7 linked regions of the Xenopus tropicalis genome follow. The protein of the gene in region 6 interacts with the protein of the main gene of each other region in a pairwise test. Links are inferred from orthologs where the notes say so. Each region holds a gene or a part of one and is shown on either strand. Other genes may lie near its edges.

Region 1 (2,451 bases), on a different chromosome or scaffold from region 6:
AGTCATAGCATAATGCTGTATGTTTATCTTTTTTCTTTTAGTTTTGTGCTGTTTACAACAAGTTAATATTTAAATAAGTCTTGTCATATTCTTTCAGCCGCAGTTTCTGAAGAACAGGTGGCATCGCAAGCTTCTGTAGAGTGTGAAAGGCCACCATCTCTTCCTTCCACATCAGGCACAGTCCCACTACCAGAGCCAGTAAAACTTCCAGAGGCCTGTCGATCAGATCAGCCTAAGCCTTTGGATCCCATTAAGGTCCCTCCTCTGCCTATTGCTGCCCCATCTACTGCTTCAGGCACATCAGCCACAGAGAAGACAAAGCAAAGTGAGGTTATGCCTGGAAAACGGAGTCTTAGTATCTTGAACTTTGTACGGGGGCACCCGCCCAAAGAGAGCACTGTATCACCACCTCAGAGTGTGAATGGAAGAACCAAGTCTTGGGGGCCATTTATAGCTGAGGAGTTTGCTCACCAATTTCATGAGTCTGTATTACAGTCCACTCAGAAAGCCCTGCAGAAGCACAAAGGTAAGAGCAGATTTGATCTATTTTAATTTAAGTTATGTGTTGTTATGCGTTGTGGGCTTCAGAAGTAGAAGTTTAATGCAGGCTGAAAAGCAGAGTGGGATTTATTTGGGCCTGATCTGTATGTGTCAGTCTAGACTACATTGCTTGAATTTTTACTGTGTATTAAGTCAGCCATTCCAGACCGAGTCAGCAGCTTATTGGCACAAGTATGGAGCCCCCCCATCAATCTGCCCTACTGACTTCTAGACGAAAATTATTGGGATTTTCAAACTGCTCTAAGTAAGGACTACATAAGCATCAGGGGCGATTCTGGACATATCGCCACCTGAGGCGTCTCCGGGATGCCGCCCCCGCTCCCCAGTGCTTACCTTCTGAGCGCAGGAGCGGGTCCGGGGGCGGTGAGATCACTAGTGCAGAGAGCACAATTAAAAAACGGAAATTCGGCTCTTAAAGTTACCAGGAGCGGCTTTTTGCCGCCCCTGGTAACTGGGGCGCTTCTGCCGCCTGAGACGAGTTTCTCAACTCGCCTAATGGCAGAAGCGCCCCTGATAAGCACATTGATGCAGTTTAGGCCCAGATTTAGTTGCTAGCCTAGAGGCCAAACAATCGTTTCAGCCTGATTTGGCCCAGGGCGACTGTAGGCAGGAGAGTGAAATCATTTCAGTGTGCATTATGTCACTTCTGAAACCTGGTACCTAGGGTGGCACCAGACCTAAATACAGCCCTGCATGGATATAGTTTAGATTAAATGTTTGGTACTGTCTTCTTGAGTGAGACTTGTGCAGTAGTATAAACCTTATTTTTATTCTGGGTTTGCAGGAGTTTCAGCTATGCACTGTGCAGAACAGAACCACAAACCCGATGCATCTGTTCATTATAACATTCCTGAGCTGCAACACTCCAGCCGGCCAACAGCACTACATCAGAATGGCCAGCAAGTGTCAGGACAGTCAGCAGTAGGGCGCGTGCAAACACAGCAAGCAACAAGCTCTGAGGAAGAAACAACTGATGAGGAGGAAGAAGAGGAGCCACCCAGGCCTAAGTGGCAGGGAATTGAGGCAATATTTGAAGCCTATCAGGAACATGTGGAAGGTAAGATTGCACTTTAATAGTTTTTTTTTTCTTTTACCTAAGATCTCATTTATTGATGACTAAAGGTGGCTGTACAAGGGCAAATTTCAGCTGCCGATTCGGGTTCTTCAGATGGGCCTACCAATCCAATATCTGGCCTAAAATTGGCCAGATCTTGATCAGGCAGGTTTGATATTCCTGTCAGATTTGGGGACCATGTGGTCTCGTTGATTTGGTCCAATGGGCCAAATACTTTTATATAATTTTGATTCAGTGGTTTGGCACTAGGGCCAAACAATCAAAGTAGCCACATATCACCCACCTTAGGTGGCCATATCAGGAGAAGATCCGCTTGTTAGTCGACCTTCCACACAAGCAGATTTTACTGTGTATGGCCATCTTTTAACTTGTAGCAGACTATGCACCTTTATTAGACAAACCCTGAAAGTGTCATTGTCATCTTTGAGTAGAATTGCTAACATACTCTCATGAACTTTCCATTCGATAAGCAAAAAGTGGAGGCTCGGCAGAGCACAGTTTCAGTCCCTTTCCCTGTTGTTTTGTACAATGAAGAATAAGCTGCCAGGAAAAGATATCAAAGAATTTCCCTCACCTTTAGTAGAACCTGTTACTAGCTCATTGCTGCTTTAGTTCGTGGTGACGTTGGGCTTTATTCCTAAAAATTCCAGTGAAAGATAGTGCCTTGAAGGAAGGAGAGAGGGGGCAGCACATGCATGTCAAGTAGAGAGATTTGTCCTGCTGGGCAAATGGGAAAGTACTAAGTACTCCATGTCAAAAAAGCCAGTTAGGCTATATCGCTTGCTATTGTGTGGCCTAACCCAAGTGTGCAACCA
Region 2 (2,603 bases), on a different chromosome or scaffold from region 6:
GTCATCCAAATCTACGTTACTATATAAAAATAATACATATTTCATAGCAGTGCTTCTTTATCTAAACTTACCTCTCCCAAAGCTGCCCAGATCCCCTCCAGCCTTAGCTGAGCTGCAGTCACTGAACCGAGAAGCAAGAGATTCAAAATCCTCATCCCCCGATTTTATCTTCTGGATGTAGCCTGGAAAACATGAATAACACTAAAACCACTGAAGATGTCTAATATAATGTATATTGGCTACGTGCGTAGAACTGCATTTTCTGTTTGCTGGATCTCCTTAAGTGGCAAATGTTTAATATGACACTGTGCCTCTGGCTTTGAATTACATAAATGCTGGAGGAAACATATTGAGGAAAGTTGCCACTCTGTACTGACCGCAGCCTCTTTTCACTTCATATCTACGAAGGGGTTGCGTTTGGCTTGGTGCAAACAGACCTGCAGCATGGCCAATGGATCCAATGCCGACTGCTTTAGTCAGAGTAGGATTCAAGAGAGGTGGGTGGGGAGGCACGCAGGAGCCCCCACACCCTACCTGCCCTTACTGTGCACATCATTCACATGCGTAAGTTAGGACAAGGCTAAGGAAGAGTAATAGGAGACAAATTATAGAACAGTAAATAATAAAAGTAACAGTAGTATTGTGGCCTCACAGAGCAGTGATCCTATCTGAATGCTGGAAATAATTCAAAATCTATAACAAAATATATCATTGCTGGGCAGAGACCACAGGCTCTGTTTGCTCTGGGCAAAGTAGAGATATTCTGTGCAATGGGCATTCCCACACCCTGGAGCAGTGCTGTCCAACTGGCGGCCCGCGACCCCCCTCTGTGTGGCCCCCCACCTGTCTGGCTGCTTTGATGGCTTACTCTTGTGTAAGCTTTAAATGGTATCAGTACTGAGATTAAATGGCCCCCTGCATGGTTCTCACCTCAGATTCAGGCTGTAATCCCTCTGTATTGTTTAAATATGTAATTCCCTGTATTGTTCACACCTTTTAATCTCTGCATTGTTCACCCCCTGCAGTGTTCACACCTCAGGCTCAGGCTGTAATCACCCATATTGTTCCCCTGTTCACACCTCCGGAGCAGTAGAAACCCACAAATAATCCCTGCACACTACAAAAAGAACATATACTGAGGTGGTACTGCAATTAAAAAGTTTTTTAATATATAGTTATTGTGCAGACTGTAGGAGCAGTGCCAGCATTGTGTCACTGTAGGCTGCCTGTGTGTGCCATACACACAGGCATCATAGGGCAAGCAGAGTATGGCACACACAGGCAGGGTAGGGAAGGCAGAGTATGGCACACACAGGCAGGGTAGGGAAGGCAGAGTATGGCACACACAGGCCAAGTATGGCACAAACCAGCCAAGAATGGCAAACACAGTGAAAGTATGGCACACACAGGCAGGGTAGGGCAGGCAGAGTATGGCACACACAGGCCAAGTATGGCACAAACCAGCCAAGTATGGCACACAGGCAGGGTAGGGAAGGCAGAGTATGGCGCACACACAGGCAGGGTAGGGAAGGCAGAGTATGGCACACACAGGCAGGGTAGGGAAGGCAGAGTATGGCACACACAGGCAGGGTAGGACAGGCAGAGTATGGCAGGTTTTTGCTGTACTACAACCATTAATATGGGTATGGTCATGTGATAACGTGGGTGTGGTTTCAAGTGGGTGCGGTTTCAAAAAGGGGAGTGGTCAAACTGGCTTCCATTATCGGCCCTCCACCGCGTAGGTCGGAAAAATTCCAGCCCTCGGTACAACAGAAGTTGGACAGCACTGCCCTGGAGAGAAGAGGTAAACTGCAATCACTGGTGTTATACCTACCTGGCACTAATTTTAGCTTGACTTATCCTTTAATTTACCATGTTACCCCTGAGCAGGCTTGGCGCGGCCTTATGCTCAGTACACTAGGGCTAGTGTGCCCAATCTCACAGAAGGAATTCCTGGGCAGGGCACTCACCAACCAAGTACCCAGGCCAGTATGGTTTTTTTTTTAAATTAAAGACAAAAGTAGCATATGCCTAACAAACTGGCACCCAAGGTTTTCTTTTTTTCTTTTAATATGAAATACTTTCAGGGCCCATGCCCTTCCTCCATAATGAACACCTGTACCCAAATGAACTATAACTCATCCTCCCTTGGATTAACGCCTTGAAATTCCCATGGTTTCTTGATTTAGCGTATGCAGACCAAATGCAGGAATTCAGGAACTACAGGGCGGGGAGTGCCAGAGTAACATAAAGCCACATTTATATAAAGGCAATATCCAGCTACCCTGTACAAAGTGTAGAGGAGAGAGTGGGACAGAATCACTCCAGTACAGTGGCCCAAGATGGTAAATACCATCTGCTGCTCTCCCTAAAGACTTACAAGCCCTAATTATGACATAGAGCACAGTCACACTAATACAGAAGCCCCTTCCTTACCCACCATTAATGTGCTCCAGTGCCTCGTCCTTGGTGCGAGTGATCCTGTCCTGCCTCCATGATGAAGGACGCCTTGACTGATTGTGCTTCACGAGTAGGTGAGAGCATCTCACTTTTCCTGGCTCCCCCTGGCCATTTTTCCCACCAGTAGTGGGCCTTTCCCATTG
Region 3 (3,500 bases), on a different chromosome or scaffold from region 6:
TGAATTGCATGCAAAGTGCGAAGAACAGGAGCGGGCAAGATGGCTGAGCAGTGTCCCTCCCCAACGCCGCGGAAGCCGGTAAGAGGGATCTTGGCACTGCCTTATAATAAACAGTGTTTCCCTAAAACCAGTTATAACATGAGGCTCGTGAGTTAATCACATGGGTATATAGTTGAGTATCCATGTAGTATGACTGCCGTATGTGCCTGATGCCACGCCTGTACCAACAAATATCTCTCGTGCATGTGCCACATTCCATGGTTGTGTTTTGTGCTGGTTTGGTTGCCATAGTTACTTGCATGACATGAGTGTCGCTCTCCATGCTTGGAGCGAGCAATAAAGCTCTAAAAAGGTCACAGGCAAGTGAGCAAGCGTTCCCTTACTGCATTTCTGCACTCCCACAGGCAGCTGTCTGCAACAGGCAGTGTTCCGCGGGATGTTCCCTGCAGTAGATAGAATGTGGAACACTGCAATCTGCCTGACTCTTCCTATTTCCCAAGGATCCGAGTCCATGTACAGCTGCACCATCTGCTGGTGGCAGGAGGAATTGCAGGAATTTATTTGGCCTTTAGAGAGGGAAGGATCTGGTAACATCTAAAGCTTCATAGTGAGGATGATTTTGTTCAGGGCTCCCTGTGCTACTCCCCAGAGCTGCAACCTCCTTCAATTCAGTCTTTTATTCTATTGCCATATTGCTAAGTTGCCTCTTTCCTTTTATTGCTGTAGCAGCATATTGTGCCCTGGCCTGTGATTCCAAATATATAACTTTTACATTTTTCTTTCCCTTTAATTGAAACTAAACATTCCTTGTACTCACCATTGTATTCTTCTTCCCCTCTCAGGACTCACAGAACATCCGAAAGCTCGGTCACCCCTTCCGCTGGTACTCGTCCCCTTACACCCCAACCCTCCTCCCCTGACACAGGCAGTTGGCAAGCCATCCCCGATTTCTCCCCCCTCAGCCCAGATGTTCTCTCTGCTCCTCCCACCCCGACCTCCCGAGAGACCTCACGTCTGCTCTCTGAAGAGACCCAGAGCTCCATTTCTGACTCCGGACGCGAGGAGCTGGTGAGTCACGTGGTTCTTACACCTGACTGGGGGGGTTTAATGGAAAAGTTTAGAGGATTTATTTTGTTGGCGTTGTTCCTTCTGTCTTTCTGTTGGTTATTTCCTAAGCATTTTCCAGCCGGTCCTTTAATGGGGTGGCCCACCTTTAATTTAACTTTTAGTATGTTATAGAATGGCAAAAAAATACAAATAATAAAAAATGAAGACAAATTGCAAATTGTCTCAAAAGATGAACAACCCCTTTAAACCACAGGGTTAGTGGCCCTAGCAACCTGATAGCCGTTGCATACTGGAGAAATGCACAAAGGCCAAGTAGCACCAAACAGTGGTATATTAGTATTTCTAGCTGATATATCTGTACTGATTTACATCTCTTTTGCAGGCCGTTCAGCCCTGGGAACGGAGAAACTTCCCCCTTTCATACAGTCCCAAACGGGAACTCACAGGACCTTGTGAGCCCACAGACTGGGGAGGAGCTCGCCCGCCGCGCCGCCCTTCCTGCAGCTCTAAAACTGCCAAAGACCCAGAGGATCCCCCGTCCTCTCCCCCCTGCCCTGTCTCAAGGCCACGACCGCTCCACAGATAGGGAGGTGAGGAGAGCGATGCCCCTGATCAGAGACGATTTGGCTCCAAAAGAAAAAAATAAATAAAAAATCCAACTGTTTGATATTCAAACTTGATCCCCAGAAGTGTGCGCCATTTTCACAATTTTTAGTGAATTGAAGGACTTTAGGGGAGAATTTTCTTTTCTTTATTTTTGTTGTTTTGTTGCGGGAGGGGGACATGGTAACTGCTCTTTCCTTCTCTGGGTGCGGCTTCTGCAAAAGGCAGGCAGTCTGCAAAGCTGATCATATTGACACTTTTTCTGTTCCTATTGGCTGAGAGACCACCCATTAGCGCATTACTGCATTCCCACAAGCTTGTGTGCCGAAATGTTCGTTTAGGCCCCAGCGACCCCCTCCATCCCTGCAGTATAAAGCACTTAGTGTTCAGTGGGGAAACAGGACTTGTTTACAGATCTCCCCAATCAGAAACCTTAAGCTGGCCATGCACAGGCCAATAAAAGCTGACAATTTGATCCAGCAGATCAAGTCAGCAGATTATTGGCCCATGTATGAGGTCTCCTGACTGCCTGCCAGCAGTTAATCCATCTAATGGGAAAGTGGCTGAAAGGATTCTCTCAATGAGATCCTTTCCAGATAGGTCTATTGGGATTTGACCTGGTGAGTGGATGACCAAATTGGGCAAAGACCCACTTGACTTCTCTAACTACACAGATTTGGCCAACATAAGATTGCTGCCTATTAACCAGAATCTGGTTTCTGATTGGCTGGAAATCCTTTTTTTACAGTTGGTTCCCCAATCTGCTGATGTTATGCCCCATAATGTGTGGGAATAATGAAACCGTAAGGGCAGCAGGCTGGTGTTCTGGCCCTTTATTCGAAGCAGAGCTGTTGCAACCCCAAACCTAACTTCTTGCACTGTGTTTAAATGTGAGTGAGTGAGCAGTTACTGAGGATAAACGAACCCCTTCCTACTTGTCCTTGTTATACCCCCTGCCCCAGGTTTAAACTTGTTGTTCTTCAGTTCCAAGTTCTACTCATTTTAAGTCTTTAACCTGCTTTTCCCGTAATTCCTTTATTTTTCTTTTACTCTCTGTGCCAGTCAAAGGCTCTGTGGCACTTAATGGGTTAACACATTTTAAATCTCCCCCCCCCCCCCCCCCCCCCCACCCAATCTTTAAGCATTAATAAATGGCTTTAGTTCTCCGATGAGAATATACATTGAAACCAAGGGGAGAACTTTTAGCTTTGTATAAAGGAGATCATTAAAGAATTGTATTTTGTAAATAACTTTTTATTAGCTTTTCTGCCTATTTTGTTTGGGTTTTTTTTTTTTTCTTGACAGCATAAAGATGGCGGAATGGGCGCCATCCACTGGGTTGTATCTGCGGAAGAGGAGAAAAAAAAGTTAATGCATTTTGTTGTTGTTTTCAGGGTAATCTTTTCTTTGTTTAATGTCTATCCTGTTGCAAAAAAATAAGCACTGGGCAAAGTGCTGGAGAAAAAGACAAAAAAGGGAGAAAAAAAACAAAAAAAAAACAAAAAAAAAAAAACTGAAATAATAAACCAGTTAAACACTGTCCCTTGTCTGGCCTGTCATTGCTTACTTTCTATTGGTTAACTGCTCCTAGTGTGTTCCATAAGGGATTGGAAGTGTATCACTCATATATTATAAGGGATAATGTACCCCCTACTGTAAATGATAAGGATATTAGAAGTCACTGAGGGGTTCTGTGCCCATATAAAGGCACAAGGCTGCAGGCTGAGTTATACAGGGAACTCGGAGTATCACTCATGTATTATAGGGGATAATGTACCCCCTACTGTAAATGATAAGGATATTAGAAGTCACTGAGGGGTTCTGTGACC
Region 4 (2,203 bases), on a different chromosome or scaffold from region 6:
CACTGACCTATCTATCCACTCACATACAGACCCATACTGACCTATCTATCCACTCACATACAGACCCACACTGACCTATCTATCCACTCACATACAGACCCATACTGACCTATCTATCCACTCACATACAGACCCATACTGACCTATCTATACACTCACATACAGACCCACACTGACCTATCTATCCACTCACATACAGACCCACACTGACCTATCTATCCACTCACATACAGACCCATACTGACCTATCTATCCACTCACATACAGACCCATACTGACCTATCTATCCACTCACATACAGACCCATACTGACCTATCTATCCACTCACATACAGACCCATACTGACCTATCTATCCACTCACATACATACACCATATATACCAACATCAATACTAACTGTAGATATTAGTATCACAATAGCCTTGGATACTATGCTTGTTCAAGAACTCATCCAGGCCCCTCTTAAAGGCATTAACATAATCTGCCATTACAACATCACTAGGAAGGGCATTCCCCAACCTCACTACTTTCACCGTGAAAAACCACCTATGCTGCTTCAAATGGAAGCTCCATTCCTCTAATCTAAAGGGGGGGCCTCTGGCCTGGTCTGAATTTCAGTATCCTTTAGGTGCCACTAATTTTTGAAGGGCTTCATCTGAATACCACTGAATTAATGTATTCTGTTTTATTCATATATTGTGATTTTCATGTTATTTTAGTTTATGGTTGATGCTGCTAACCCAAACCAAGTGTCTGCATCATGTATCCAGCTTCTGGCCGTGCTGTCTGCGGAGCCTTTGGTGTCTGCTTCAGTGCTGATTCTTTTTAATAAGATGTAAGTTTTTATGCCTTCTTTCTTATTGACTTATTATTCTTAGACTATGACTAAGCATGTAGTTAATAAGTTCCATTTTTGTTCCCTGTAGAGACCTGCCATGCTATATGTCATTGGTGGAAATAAAGTCACTGTTTAGAATGGATGACATCATTTCTTGTGCTAAGCAACAAATTTCAGTCCTGCAAACAAGCTCACTAGATGGCACTGGTTTACAAGATGTTATGCACTGGTTGCATTCCAATTGTGCTCAATAACATTCCCTTCACTGGCAATGAAACAGTATGCAGAATGCACCACTTAAATGTTGGATGTACAGCAGTGTTTCCTGGGCAAAACATTCTTAGCACTGTCCCAGTGAAGCCATTTTCCCTTTCTTTGGAGCAGAGAAACAATGGGAAGAAGTGTGTCTATGTGTTTACAGTAGCATTTTCTGCAGAAGGAGTTTGCATCCATTGCACACATTTAGGTATCAACCACATTCAGCCTGATGTGTCCAGATAAAATACAACCAAGGATATCTTTGATACTTACTGAAGCAGTACTTCCTGCATGAATTGGGGACCATTTCCATGTCTTTATCCATGCCAGGGTCTTACAAACATTGGTACGGGATTAACAGAAACATAAGAAGAGATGCTGCAAGTTTTGGCATCACTTTCTCCATCCACTTTCCACTGTCACTCATTTACAGTTACCACATATTAAGAATGGGTCCATTGAAGGTCAAAGCCTCTTTCAGCTGGAATTAAGAGTCTTATTTGATAAGCTATGATTACAATTATGAACATTAATACAAATGATTAAAGTTGAATATGTTTTATGTGGTTTTTTTAATACAAAATTGTAATAAAAGTGTAAACCTTTAATTGTAAAAATGATGCAGGATCATTAAGCTTTTTGATGTGCTGCTAGTGAGCAGTAACCTACACATGCACACAGTAGTAGGACAGTAGTTGCATTAATTAGATGCACTTGGATGATGTTATTTCAAAAATAGTTCAGCATCAGTTCAACACAACCTTTATAACATGATTTTCAGGTTCCCAAAAAGGGTTTTATGGGGAAGCTATTGAACCCAGGTGGCTGCTTTTGTATTATGCTAGAAGTCATAGAAGATCTCCAACCTTAGGTGCTGACTGCAAGGTTGGAGGGCAGCACTGACTTGGCTGCCTGATGGTAGCAAGGAGTCCTGACATGGCACTGCCCTGCCAGCAGTTGCAGGGTTGTTTCCTCTACATGATTTAGTAACATGATTAGTGAGTTTGTATTATAGCTGTGGGTAAAAAAAAATCCACATACATACATAAGTTTAACCTTTTGTTGTAGCAAAACCTTCCTACCTACTACCTGATTGTTTGTGTGGT
Region 5 (2,980 bases), on a different chromosome or scaffold from region 6:
AAAGCAGATGCATCCCACGCACTCCCTATTCCCTAACTTGTGATTCTAAGTGACAGAAAGTGCCAAGCAGGTAAAGTCTGTACCTGGGCCGGGTACTTACTGCCCTATGGCAGCTAGTAAAGACAGGGCTGCTCTGCTCCTGCCCATGCTTTGCATTTAACTAATTTTTTGTATTCCACGCATAAATGGCTTTTGATTTTTACTTTTTTGTAGAAGAAGTATATGTGAACCAGGCAACTTAGAGTTGCTGGGCTATTGGTAATTGCTTTTAATAATAAAACTTTAATAATAATTCCTTATAATATCAGTGTCCTTGATTACACTGGAATCTACCCAGATGTGACTTACCGAAAGCAATCTGTACAGTGGTACAAAAACAATGCACGCCGTTTCTAATATCCTTCCTATGGTGTTCAGTGCAAGACATATGGTATTGACGCACTCTATAAAGCAGTCTTTTAATATTATCAAAGCCGCCACTAGCAGGAAAAAATGTTCAAATATTCTCTCAGCATTTATTAAGGATTGCTTCATTCCATTGTACACATATTAAAACAAATGAGTACATCCATACAATATAATTGTGTAACATGGCACAGTGAAATTAATTCAAAGCCCTAGTACAGCATTTGTTGGTGAACTCAGGGGAGATGGTATCATGAGAATATTTTCTTGCTGGGTTAGGGTATACAAAAAGAGCTTGAGTGAACTCTGTGTAGCAAACATGGCCATTCATCACAATTAGTTGTGGCAAACAGCTTTAGAACTTTCTGCTTATTAATAGAGAGTAGTGATGGGCGAAAAGTTTCGCCAGGCATGGATTCGCGGCGAATTTCCGCGTTTCGCCATTGGCGGATTGTTTCGCGAAACGGATGAAAAATTTCGCCGCGGAAAAATTCGCCGCACGTCCAAAAATTGTTGCGGCGTCAAAAAAGAATAGTCGCGGGCGACGAAACAAGAGCCGCGCGACGAAACAAGAGCCGCGGGCGACGAAACAAGAGCCGCGCGACGAAACAAGAGCCGCGGGCGACGAAACAAGAGCCGCGCGACGAAACAAGAGCCGCGCGACAAAACAAGAGCCGCGCGCGACAAAATAATAGCCGCGGGCGACAATTTTTTTTGTCGCACGACATTTTCGCCGCTTCGCGAATTTTTCGCCGTTTCGCGGATCTTTTCAAAGATTCGCTAATTTTTCGGCGAAGCGAAACGGAACAGATTCGCTCATCACTAATAGAGAGCACTTTTCACACTCAGTGCAATCATTCTCAGGTTTGCTCTGTGTGGCACCAAGCCTGTGTTATCTACGAGTGGTATTTTTCATTACTGCAATAAACATTACTGCTGTGAAACTACTCGCTGAATGCCCAATAGTATGTACAGATAAACACAAATTTTTTATTAACAAGAACTCCAGTGGCATCAGCAGCCTAGCAAGAAATAGCAGTTACTTAGTATAACAACACACTGAAATACAGATTCCCACAAGCTGTTTTTTTTCTGTCCTTATAGTCGGCACTTGCTGCATTTCATTGCATAGTCATATCTTATATTGCACACAGTTAATAGGAGCAGGTTATGGATTTCTTTTATCAAATGTTAAGAGATGTCGCAACACAATTTAGATATTACTGAATATTCACTTTGCATGTTGCCGAGTCTGTTGGAGCAATATGGTTTTACCACCATATCGGAATGAATAAAAGCAATTTGATGGTATGCCTGCCTTCAGGCTTCGAAAAACTTCATTTAAAAAAAGAAAAACTGAGTTAAAAATTTTAAAAAGAACGGTGTAACTGTTATCCTTTGGAAAGCTTGACAATAACCAGTGTTCACCAATGAGTAAATGATGACTATTTGTTGTTAAGTTAGGCAGCAACCAGCAGCAAATGTAAGCATACAGTGTTGCCTCGAACTTTGATCCTTTCCATCAATAAGAAGAAGTGGTGTTTTATGAAAGTAGTCAATAATTTCCTCCACTGAAGTAAAGGTCTGCAAAAAACAGGGAATTTTGTTAACGATTAGCAAATTACAGAAAATCACCAGAAAAAATGGTGTAAAATCAGGGAAATGCATTATACCTTATATATTGGTGGGACCCCAAGACAGCAGCGTGGAATTATGGAAAATTTAACCAACCAGCTTTAGTGTTTTTAGAATATAGTGCGCATTCAATGAAAAGTTCAAGATATTGCATCATTTCATTGTAATTTTTGAAACTCTAACTGGGGATGATAAAGAGCCCTTCCCTGTATCACCTTGACACTTGAATTTCCATGCGCTATATCTCCATTCCCCTACTTTATGCACACTGCAATAAAGGAGCCACAGAGCTGAGGCTTAACTACCTTATGGGCGACTAACAGAAACTTTCCATCAGTTCCAATAATCCTTGATGTTTGGGCAGTATGGTGGAAAATGGCCAAACTGCCCTACCGAGTATCTATGGTCAGCGTTACACTACAAAATGTAGTGTAATGGAAATTTTTACAAATTTCAACAAATGGGGGGTTAAGAACCTTTAACTGATTAAGACTAGGATCTCGGCACAATGAGGGCTGCCAGCACATGATGATATTTTTTTTTTCTGCCATTTTCTTATAATTTACATTAACTTCATACAGAATTAAACATAGCTTAATGGACTGCTAAATTATGATTATTTTTGACTATATATATTTGAGGCCCCCATTTCTGTTTCCTTGTAACTGGAAATGCAGTGAAGCACTCTGAAAGCAGAAGTTAGCATTCATGATCCACATAGATCGCATTGCAATAAAACCAAAAATGAGAGACTTTAATCCACAAATTGTTCCTTTAAGTTCTTGTGGCCAACAACAATGCATAGTCAAACTCCAGAGAAATTAGAAGAATAGTTAACGCTAAACTAGTACTTCACGAATTGATAATAAAAATAAAAGGGTTTTGTTTAGAAAGCATTTGTTTCATTGAGGCAGCAAAATCAAAAAACAACATTGATATG
Region 6 (3,500 bases):
GTGATATAATAAATAAATACAATAAACAAGTGCCCCGTAGAGCTTACAATCTAAGTGGTTGGGTAACATACAGGCACAAACTGGAAGGTAAGAGTGCACCAGGTATAAAAAATAATGTTTTAGTGCTCCAGAAGGTAACAGCTGAGTTTTTTCTTAAAGAGAGTGGGTGAGTGTTCCCTACGGAGGGATTCAGGGATAGAGTTCCAGAGGTAAGGAGCAGCGAGCTAGAAAGGTTTAAGACGAGAGAGCGCAGTGGATGTGGATGGTGTAAAAAGACGGAGGCTCTGAGAGGACCGGAGGAGACGACCAGGAACATGCAGGGAGACCAGTGAAGAAATGTTGTGAGGAGCAGAGGAGTGAAGGTCTTTGAATGTTAGTAGAAGGATTTTGTAAGCTATCCTTTGTTTAACAAGCAGCCATGCTAGAGAGCTTAAGTGAGGCTGAACAGGTTCCCTCTTCGGATAGAGCAGGAGGATCCTGGCAGCAGAGTTTAAAATTGATTGCAGGGTAGAGAGGTGGGAGTCTGGGAGGCCGGTTAGTAGGATATTGCAGTAATCTAAGTGGGAAAGGATAAGGGCATGTATTAGTGTTTTAGCTGTTACTTGTGAAAGAAAGGGGCGTATCTTGCAGGGCTGTGGAGTCGGTAGATAAATTCTCTGACTTTGACTCCGACTCCTCAGTTTCTGATACTTCCGACTCCGACTCCTCTGTTTTTAATATGCTAATGTATTTTATACATTCATTGAAGGAAAGGAAGGAGACATACATGTCATTTAACCACAGAACTACTGGCTAGGAAGCCAACACTCTACTGTATTGCCCAATTAAAGCAAAAGACAAACACAATGAAAACAACAAGGTTTTGTTTATTTTTTTTTTTAAACACGTGGCTGGATAGTAATAGCTGGCATAAAAATCAGGAACAGCAACTTTACCAGTTCAAAACAAACCACATTCTTTGGTAGTTTTAAGTTAAAACTAACTCAACGTGTCACTCAACGTGTTCGTTTATGCACTGCGTGCATTGGGCTTTATTCTTATAGCAGAGAAGTAATTAATTATGACTGTTTCTGAATTGGGACATTTAAACTTGCTTTATTTTATTTTTTTTTAATTCCCATTTAAATTTAGTAGGAGTCGGTTCATTTTTTGCCGACTCCCGACTCAAGGTACCCAAAATTGCCTTCGACTCCACAGCCCTGGTATCTTGGCAATATTGCGGAGGAAAAAACGGCAGGTTTTGGCAGTGTTATTTATATGGTTAGAGAAGGAGAGTGACTGGTCAAAGATAACCCCAAGGCAGCGTGCAGAATTTACAGGGTTGATGGTCATGCCATCAATAGCAATGGTGAAAGGAGGAGGAGGGCCAGGTTTGGGCGGGAAGACCATTAGCTCTGTAAAAGAGGGGAAAAACCTGCAACCCCAGAATTTTAAAAAAAAATGTGGGAACCCCACAAAAATACAATCTACCTTTTTAAGTAATAAACTCCTCTATGTAGAAATGTAAGTAATTTTAATATATGGAATCTGAAGCTGCAGTTAGAATGCTATTCTCTCATTTCCAGATCCAGACCTTGGGCCAAGAGAAACAGACAGCTCAGGTACAGGTAGAACAGTTGGAGACCAGGGTGACAGAGCTCCTGCTGGCATCAGGTATGTGCATGGAAGGAAACAAAGATGTCTTCACAATGAATATAGTCCCACACCAGCTTGGTGATGCTCTGCTTCACATGTTCCTTTGCCTTAATCCACTGCTTTGCTATTTCAGCTGCTGAACCAACAGACACTGAGCCCACACCCCCTGCCGGACCCTCTGAAACTGAACTGGCCCTCCACCAAGAGGTGGATCAGCTACAGCAGAATTTTAGTGATCTGCAGGCAAGGTATCAGGCCCAGGTGCAAGACAACAGTCAGCTGAGCCGGCTGAACCAGGAACAGGAAGAGCGGCTACTGGAACTGGAGAAGACGTTACAACGCCAGAGTGAAGAAAACGTAGACAAGCAGCAGATCCTGGAAAACATGCAGAGCGATAAAGCCACCATTAGCCGGGCACTGACCCAGAACAGGCAACTGAAGGAACATTTGGCCGAGCTCCAGAATGGATTTGTCAAACTGGTAGGCATGTCTCCCTATATGAGCTCTTATCGTCTCTTCTGTCTGAATTGCATCTTAAGGAAGCTATAAGATGTAGCAGAGCTGCTCATGGAGAGCAGCTGCTTCTCATTCTTGTCCTTTTTTTTCTCTCAAGTCTGAACCCGGAGTCTAAAGTTGGACAGAACAGCTGCATCAGCCTTATTGGTTTTAAAGGAGTGGTTCACCTTTGAGTAAACTTTTAGTATGTGATAGAATGTCCTATTCCTAGCAACACTGCATTTTTCGTTATTTATTTACTATATTCTTTCAAATAGGGGCCACTGACCTCGGCAGTTAAAAACTATAGCTCTGTGAGGCTACAGTTTTATTGTTATTGTGACTTTTTATTCCTTGTCTATTTATGAGGCCTTACCTGGTTGCTAGGGTAAATAACACCCTAACAACCAGATATTCACTGAACTGGAAAGCTGCTGGTAACTATTTAACAAGTTAAATAGCCAAAAAAACCATACAAAATCAAGACCAATTGCAGAATATCAATATCTACATCATCAAACTAAAAGTTTATTTAAAGGTGAACTACCCCATTAAGGGGCTGGGGGACAGGTCAGGTCCATTTAGTTATAACCTGCATACATAACATCAATAAGGAAATGAACATCACAGTGCAATGCATTGTGGGTTATGTAGTACCTGCATGCTGTCTGTAAGTTGTGGAGAAGTTGTTACAATTTGTGACATCAATGTTTTAGTCCCCCCTTTCCTGGCAGGATTTTAAATGATGCAGAAATAGGAACTGTTTGCATCTGGATTTCAGCATATAAAAATGGTATTTATTTATATAGGTTACAGTGATAGGTATATTAGGGGTTTCAGTGTTGTGTGGGGCTCTTTAAAACATTTTGGTACAGAAGCCAGAGTTCCGCTTTAGGTGTTTGCTTTGGACCTTCCATATATAACCCTGGTATGTCAATATATTGACTATGACTGATCCACTTACTATTCTGTAATTCTTTCAGACAAATGAAAACATGGAGCTCACCAATGCATTACAGAGTGAGCAGCATGTGAAAAAGGAGCTGGCCAAGAAGCTGGGGCAATTACAGGAGACCCTGGGCGATTTCAAAGAGCAGGTCAGCAATGGATGCAGTATCTATAAATGCTGTTTCATTGGGCTGTACATAGTGATACCAATTTGCTCTCTGTGTGTCCTTTCTTGACCAGCTGGCTGCAAAGGAGCAGGACATACAGATTCTGCAGAGTCAGCGAGATGAGGTCTCCGCTCACCTCCAGCAGTACAGTGCAGCATATCAGCAAGTCTCCATTGAGAAAGAGGAGATCCAGAGGCAGTATCTGCTGCAGGCTCAGCTGATGGACAGATTGCAGCACGAGGAGGTGCAGGGGAA
Region 7 (3,235 bases), about 59 Mb from region 6:
TCTGAAGGGCCTGAATCAGCCTATGTATGGCTTAAGACTGCAATGGAAAAATCGTCTGGTCTTTTTACATCAAAAAGGAAAAATCGTCTGGTCTTTTTACATCAAAAAACAAACAGTTACAGCAAACTGAAGCCAAACTAAATCCGAATTAACATATGCTAATTAGGTTACGGAAATTTCCAACTTCAGTGTTTATATGACAAAAAGTCACGTGATTTTTAGGATTCGGTTTGGCCAGGAAAATGGCCATTATATAATTACACATCAGAGAATATAGTCTTTTTGTGCCTACTGAATTGGCTTTCATTTTTTTTTTTTAAATATTCTCTAACTGATCATATCCCTTGGACACTATTAGCCACAAAACTGTTACAAGTGAATACCCCTTCCCACTTCTATCCTGAGATATTCAATTCACATGTAATTTCACACTATATAGGTATACCAGAAACAAAGCTCTCAGGGTTTTACTAAATATCAATAAACCGATTAACTAAATCTGCAGTTTAACAGTTTATTTTTCATTGTGCAGTTTAATGAGCCCTTCTATTGGATGGTTTGCAGTTTATGAATCTGAATATAAATTAAAGGAGAAGGTGTGATTGCACAGTTTGGGAGCAGGGCCCTGTGTGTGCAACCAAAAGTTTACACACAAAACTATGTCCTTGTACTTTAGAAATAGTACCAACTGAGGCAAAACCCAAAGACGAAAATCCAAGCTGGAAACTTATTTCAGCCACAGAATCAACTTGCACTGAATGATAAGTACCATGCTTTTTCTGCTTCAGGGTCTTATTTTCATATAATCCAGGCTCGTTTTTCCACATTGTCTCTGCAGGCAAGTTCATTTTTTGCCAATGAAACATAATTTGCTTATACTTTGTTCTTAAGAGACGGAATACTTGTAATCCCACAAAGACCAACAAAAATGCTTGTAATGAACAAAAGTCGTCTAAATAAATGGGTTCAGTTCAACAAAATGGACACATCCTCTTCATATGACTGTCTTTCCGATCCCACAGAAAGCAGATGGGAATGTTGCAGAGTCTCTTGCACAGTGTGTGTACAGTGGGATGAGGTACTTTGGTCTGTAGAACAACAAAACCATGAACATAAACAGTTAAAATCCTTGGATCATTGTCACTTTATGGCCTCCAACAGGCCTAATAAAGCACATGTCTAGGCATCTTTCAGTAGCCCCTCTGGAGTCCACCAGAACATTCATATTCCCAGTGTGGGCTGTTACAGGTATAGCATGTTGTCATATATGAAACAATATTCACTGAATGGTCAATAAGAAATAACCCTTAAAGGACATGTAATCCCCACACACAAAAATTTAATCAGTGAACAGCCTCTTTGAAATATTTCAATACCTGCCACACTGGTTGTCCAGATGCTAATAGTAAGGCTACAACATCCCTTAATCACTTAGATTTCCTTCTCCTCCTGTAACCCACTCAGCCCCATCCCTCAGGAATTTGCTTTGGCTGTTGGCTTGTGGGCATGCTCAGTTGTTCTCAGCTCAGATTACCAAACGCCCTCCAGTCTAGCAGTCAGTAAAGAGATGGCATTGATGGTTCCCATAGAAACTCAGCTCTAGCTGTCTGCTTCAATTTTTTTCTCCTAACTTCCTCTCCTGAGCTCAGCTCAAACAAAGCAGAACTTTTATCAGACAGTTCAGCCTGTGTGAGCCTGTATTCTTGATGAAAAATATGCTGAATAAGGGTCTGTGAGTGTGTGTGTGTATGCTGTTTGAGATTTAAATGTATCTAATGTATCAGAGGAAAAACGGCAGGGGGATATATGCAGTACAAATAATGCCATTAAGGCGGGGGAGATATTTCCTATATTGTATTAAATAGATCAGTACCTTTTATATTTTTCACTGTTTAATAATAGTAATACAATGCTTGTATTTGATTTAAACCATAGTACCTTTAATTTATCATGGAACTCATAATTTCTTTAACACGTTTCAACTAAAATGTGAGATCAGAAGTGATACGATATTTGTTATTAGAGAGTTATAAAGCACAAAGTGATGTCTACCCTAAAATACACCACTCATTCTGCTGTTCATTGGTGGAACGCTACACAAAAAAAATACTAAGTTCCCTAATTTCTGCCACAATAGCAGCAATGCAATCAGATACAAATTAGATGCCATATTCTTATCCTTGATTTATACTGCCTGTTTAAAACCTTTCCCTACAGTAATACTCGGATGGCTAAAAATAATAAAAAAGGACAAGCCCTGTTTTCAACGCATCCACTTACCATCAATGCTCCTCGAGTGATGTTTTCTTAGATGGGCATTTCTGCTCCCACTCTGAGAGAAAGTTTTACCACACACAGGGCACTGATGAGATTTTACCCCTGAAAAACAAGATTAAGATCTTAAACACAAGAATCAATGCTGCAATACTGGATGCTAAAGAAAATAAATTAAGGTACCTGAATGGACAACCTGGTGTTTCCGAAGACTTGAATATTCTGCAAAAGAGCGTCCACACCCCTCCATCTCACAGAGAAATGGTTTCTCTCCTGCAGAAACATATGTGCAGGGGTTAAAAAAAATATTTCCTTATATCTATTCCAGGTCTGTAGAAACAGGCACACACACCAGTATGGATACGGAGGTGATTCTTCAGGTTCCCTGCTGTGGTGAACTGTTTCCCGCAGCCTGGCTCTGAACAAAGGAAAGGCTTTTCCCCATTGTGAGTGCGCATGTGAACTTTCAGTCTTTGTAAGACATAGAATCTCTTCCCACAACCTTCTGACGGGCAAGCAAAAGAACGGTCATTTCTAAAAATTAAAAAAGAAGCACAAGCAAAGTTGGATACATTTCTTTTAACAGCCATAACATAATCACTGGCAAATATAACCACCAGTACATGGTAGTGCAATGGTAAACACTGCTGCCTTGCCTGTAGTACTGGGTTCAGTGTCAGGAAGGGCACTATCTACTAGGATTTTGTATGTTCTCCCTGTGCTTGCATGAGTTTCTAATAAAATTGTCCATAATGTGTGTAAAGTTGATGGGTACCTTGGACTGTAAGTACCACTGGGGCAGAGACTACAGAGATTATATATCATTCATTTTAAAGTATGCAGGCTACACAGGCAATACATGAATAATTCATAATAATTAGAATAATAACCAGCCCTTTGGCTGCCCGGTGTGGGTATGGAGATACAAGAAAAACAATTCAACTGGTCCATCTCACTCGCT

What was found.
Region 1: the proteins of golga2 (region 6) and gse1 interact in binary tests that used the Homo sapiens proteins (3 or more experiments, as listed by UniProt). The link is inferred for Xenopus tropicalis from reciprocal best matches to the Homo sapiens genes GOLGA2 and GSE1.
Region 2: the proteins of golga2 (region 6) and pin1 interact in binary tests that used the Homo sapiens proteins (3 or more experiments, as listed by UniProt). The two-hybrid records come from large-scale screens. The link is inferred for Xenopus tropicalis from reciprocal best matches to the Homo sapiens genes GOLGA2 and PIN1.
Region 3: the proteins of golga2 (region 6) and kansl1 interact in binary tests that used the Homo sapiens proteins (3 or more experiments, as listed by UniProt). The two-hybrid records come from large-scale screens. The link is inferred for Xenopus tropicalis from reciprocal best matches to the Homo sapiens genes GOLGA2 and KANSL1.
Region 4: the proteins of golga2 (region 6) and arl16 interact in binary tests that used the Homo sapiens proteins (3 or more experiments, as listed by UniProt). The two-hybrid records come from large-scale screens. The link is inferred for Xenopus tropicalis from reciprocal best matches to the Homo sapiens genes GOLGA2 and ARL16.
Region 5: the proteins of golga2 (region 6) and lcp2 interact in binary tests that used the Homo sapiens proteins (3 or more experiments, as listed by UniProt). The two-hybrid records come from large-scale screens. The link is inferred for Xenopus tropicalis from reciprocal best matches to the Homo sapiens genes GOLGA2 and LCP2.
Region 7: the proteins of golga2 (region 6) and znf410 interact in binary tests that used the Homo sapiens proteins (3 or more experiments, as listed by UniProt). The two-hybrid records come from large-scale screens. The link is inferred for Xenopus tropicalis from reciprocal best matches to the Homo sapiens genes GOLGA2 and ZNF410.

What each region holds. Positions count from the first base shown.
Region 1 is NC_030680.2:64,864,865-64,867,315, reverse strand, and holds part of gse1 (genetic suppressor element 1), read left to right. Parts: intron 1-97; coding exon 98-526; intron 527-1,345; coding exon 1,346-1,618; intron 1,619-2,451.
Region 2 is NC_030679.2:136,777,622-136,780,224, forward strand, and holds part of pin1 (peptidyl-prolyl cis-trans isomerase NIMA-interacting 1), read right to left. Parts: coding exon 2,441-2,603; intron 183-2,440; coding exon 72-182; intron 1-71. UniProt on the Homo sapiens protein: Peptidyl-prolyl cis/trans isomerase (PPIase) that binds to and isomerizes specific phosphorylated Ser/Thr-Pro (pSer/Thr-Pro) motifs.
Region 3 is NC_030686.2:17,267,763-17,271,262, reverse strand, and holds the end of kansl1 (KAT8 regulatory NSL complex subunit 1), read left to right. Parts: coding exon 1-78; intron 79-842; coding exon 843-1,068; intron 1,069-1,450; coding exon 1,451-1,654; 3' UTR 1,655-3,159; downstream 3,160-3,500. UniProt on the Homo sapiens protein: Non-catalytic component of the NSL histone acetyltransferase complex, a multiprotein complex that mediates histone H4 acetylation at 'Lys-5'- and 'Lys-8' (H4K5ac and H4K8ac) at transcription start sites and promotes transcription initiation.
Region 4 is NC_030686.2:27,583,082-27,585,284, reverse strand, and holds the end of arl16 (ADP-ribosylation factor-like protein 16), read left to right. Parts: intron 1-720; coding exon 721-836; intron 837-927; coding exon 928-1,093; 3' UTR 1,094-1,703; downstream 1,704-2,203. UniProt on the Homo sapiens protein: May suppress the RNA sensing activity of RIGI in a GTP-dependent.
Region 5 is NC_030679.2:32,356,212-32,359,191, reverse strand, and holds the end of lcp2 (lymphocyte cytosolic protein 2), read right to left. Parts: intron 1,990-2,980; coding exon 1,861-1,989; 3' UTR 1,239-1,860; exon of another isoform or gene 789-1,238; 3' UTR 501-788; downstream 1-500. UniProt on the Homo sapiens protein: Adapter protein primarily involved in signaling pathways within T-cells, as well as other immune cells such as platelets, mast cells, and natural killer (NK) cells.
Region 6 is NC_030684.2:22,913,211-22,916,710, reverse strand, and holds part of golga2 (golgin subfamily A member 2), read left to right. Parts: intron 1-1,565; coding exon 1,566-1,653; intron 1,654-1,768; coding exon 1,769-2,115; intron 2,116-3,113; coding exon 3,114-3,227; intron 3,228-3,318; coding exon 3,319-3,500. UniProt on the Homo sapiens protein: Peripheral membrane component of the cis-Golgi stack that acts as a membrane skeleton that maintains the structure of the Golgi apparatus, and as a vesicle thether that facilitates vesicle fusion to the Golgi membrane.
Region 7 is NC_030684.2:81,888,314-81,891,548, reverse strand, and holds the end of znf410 (zinc finger protein 410), read right to left. Parts: intron 2,809-3,235; coding exon 2,627-2,808; intron 2,548-2,626; coding exon 2,458-2,547; intron 2,380-2,457; coding exon 2,281-2,379; intron 1,089-2,280; coding exon 967-1,088; 3' UTR 501-966; downstream 1-500. UniProt on the Homo sapiens protein: Transcription factor that binds to the sequence motif 5'-CATCCCATAATA-3', and is specifically required to silence expression of fetal hemoglobin in adult erythroid cells.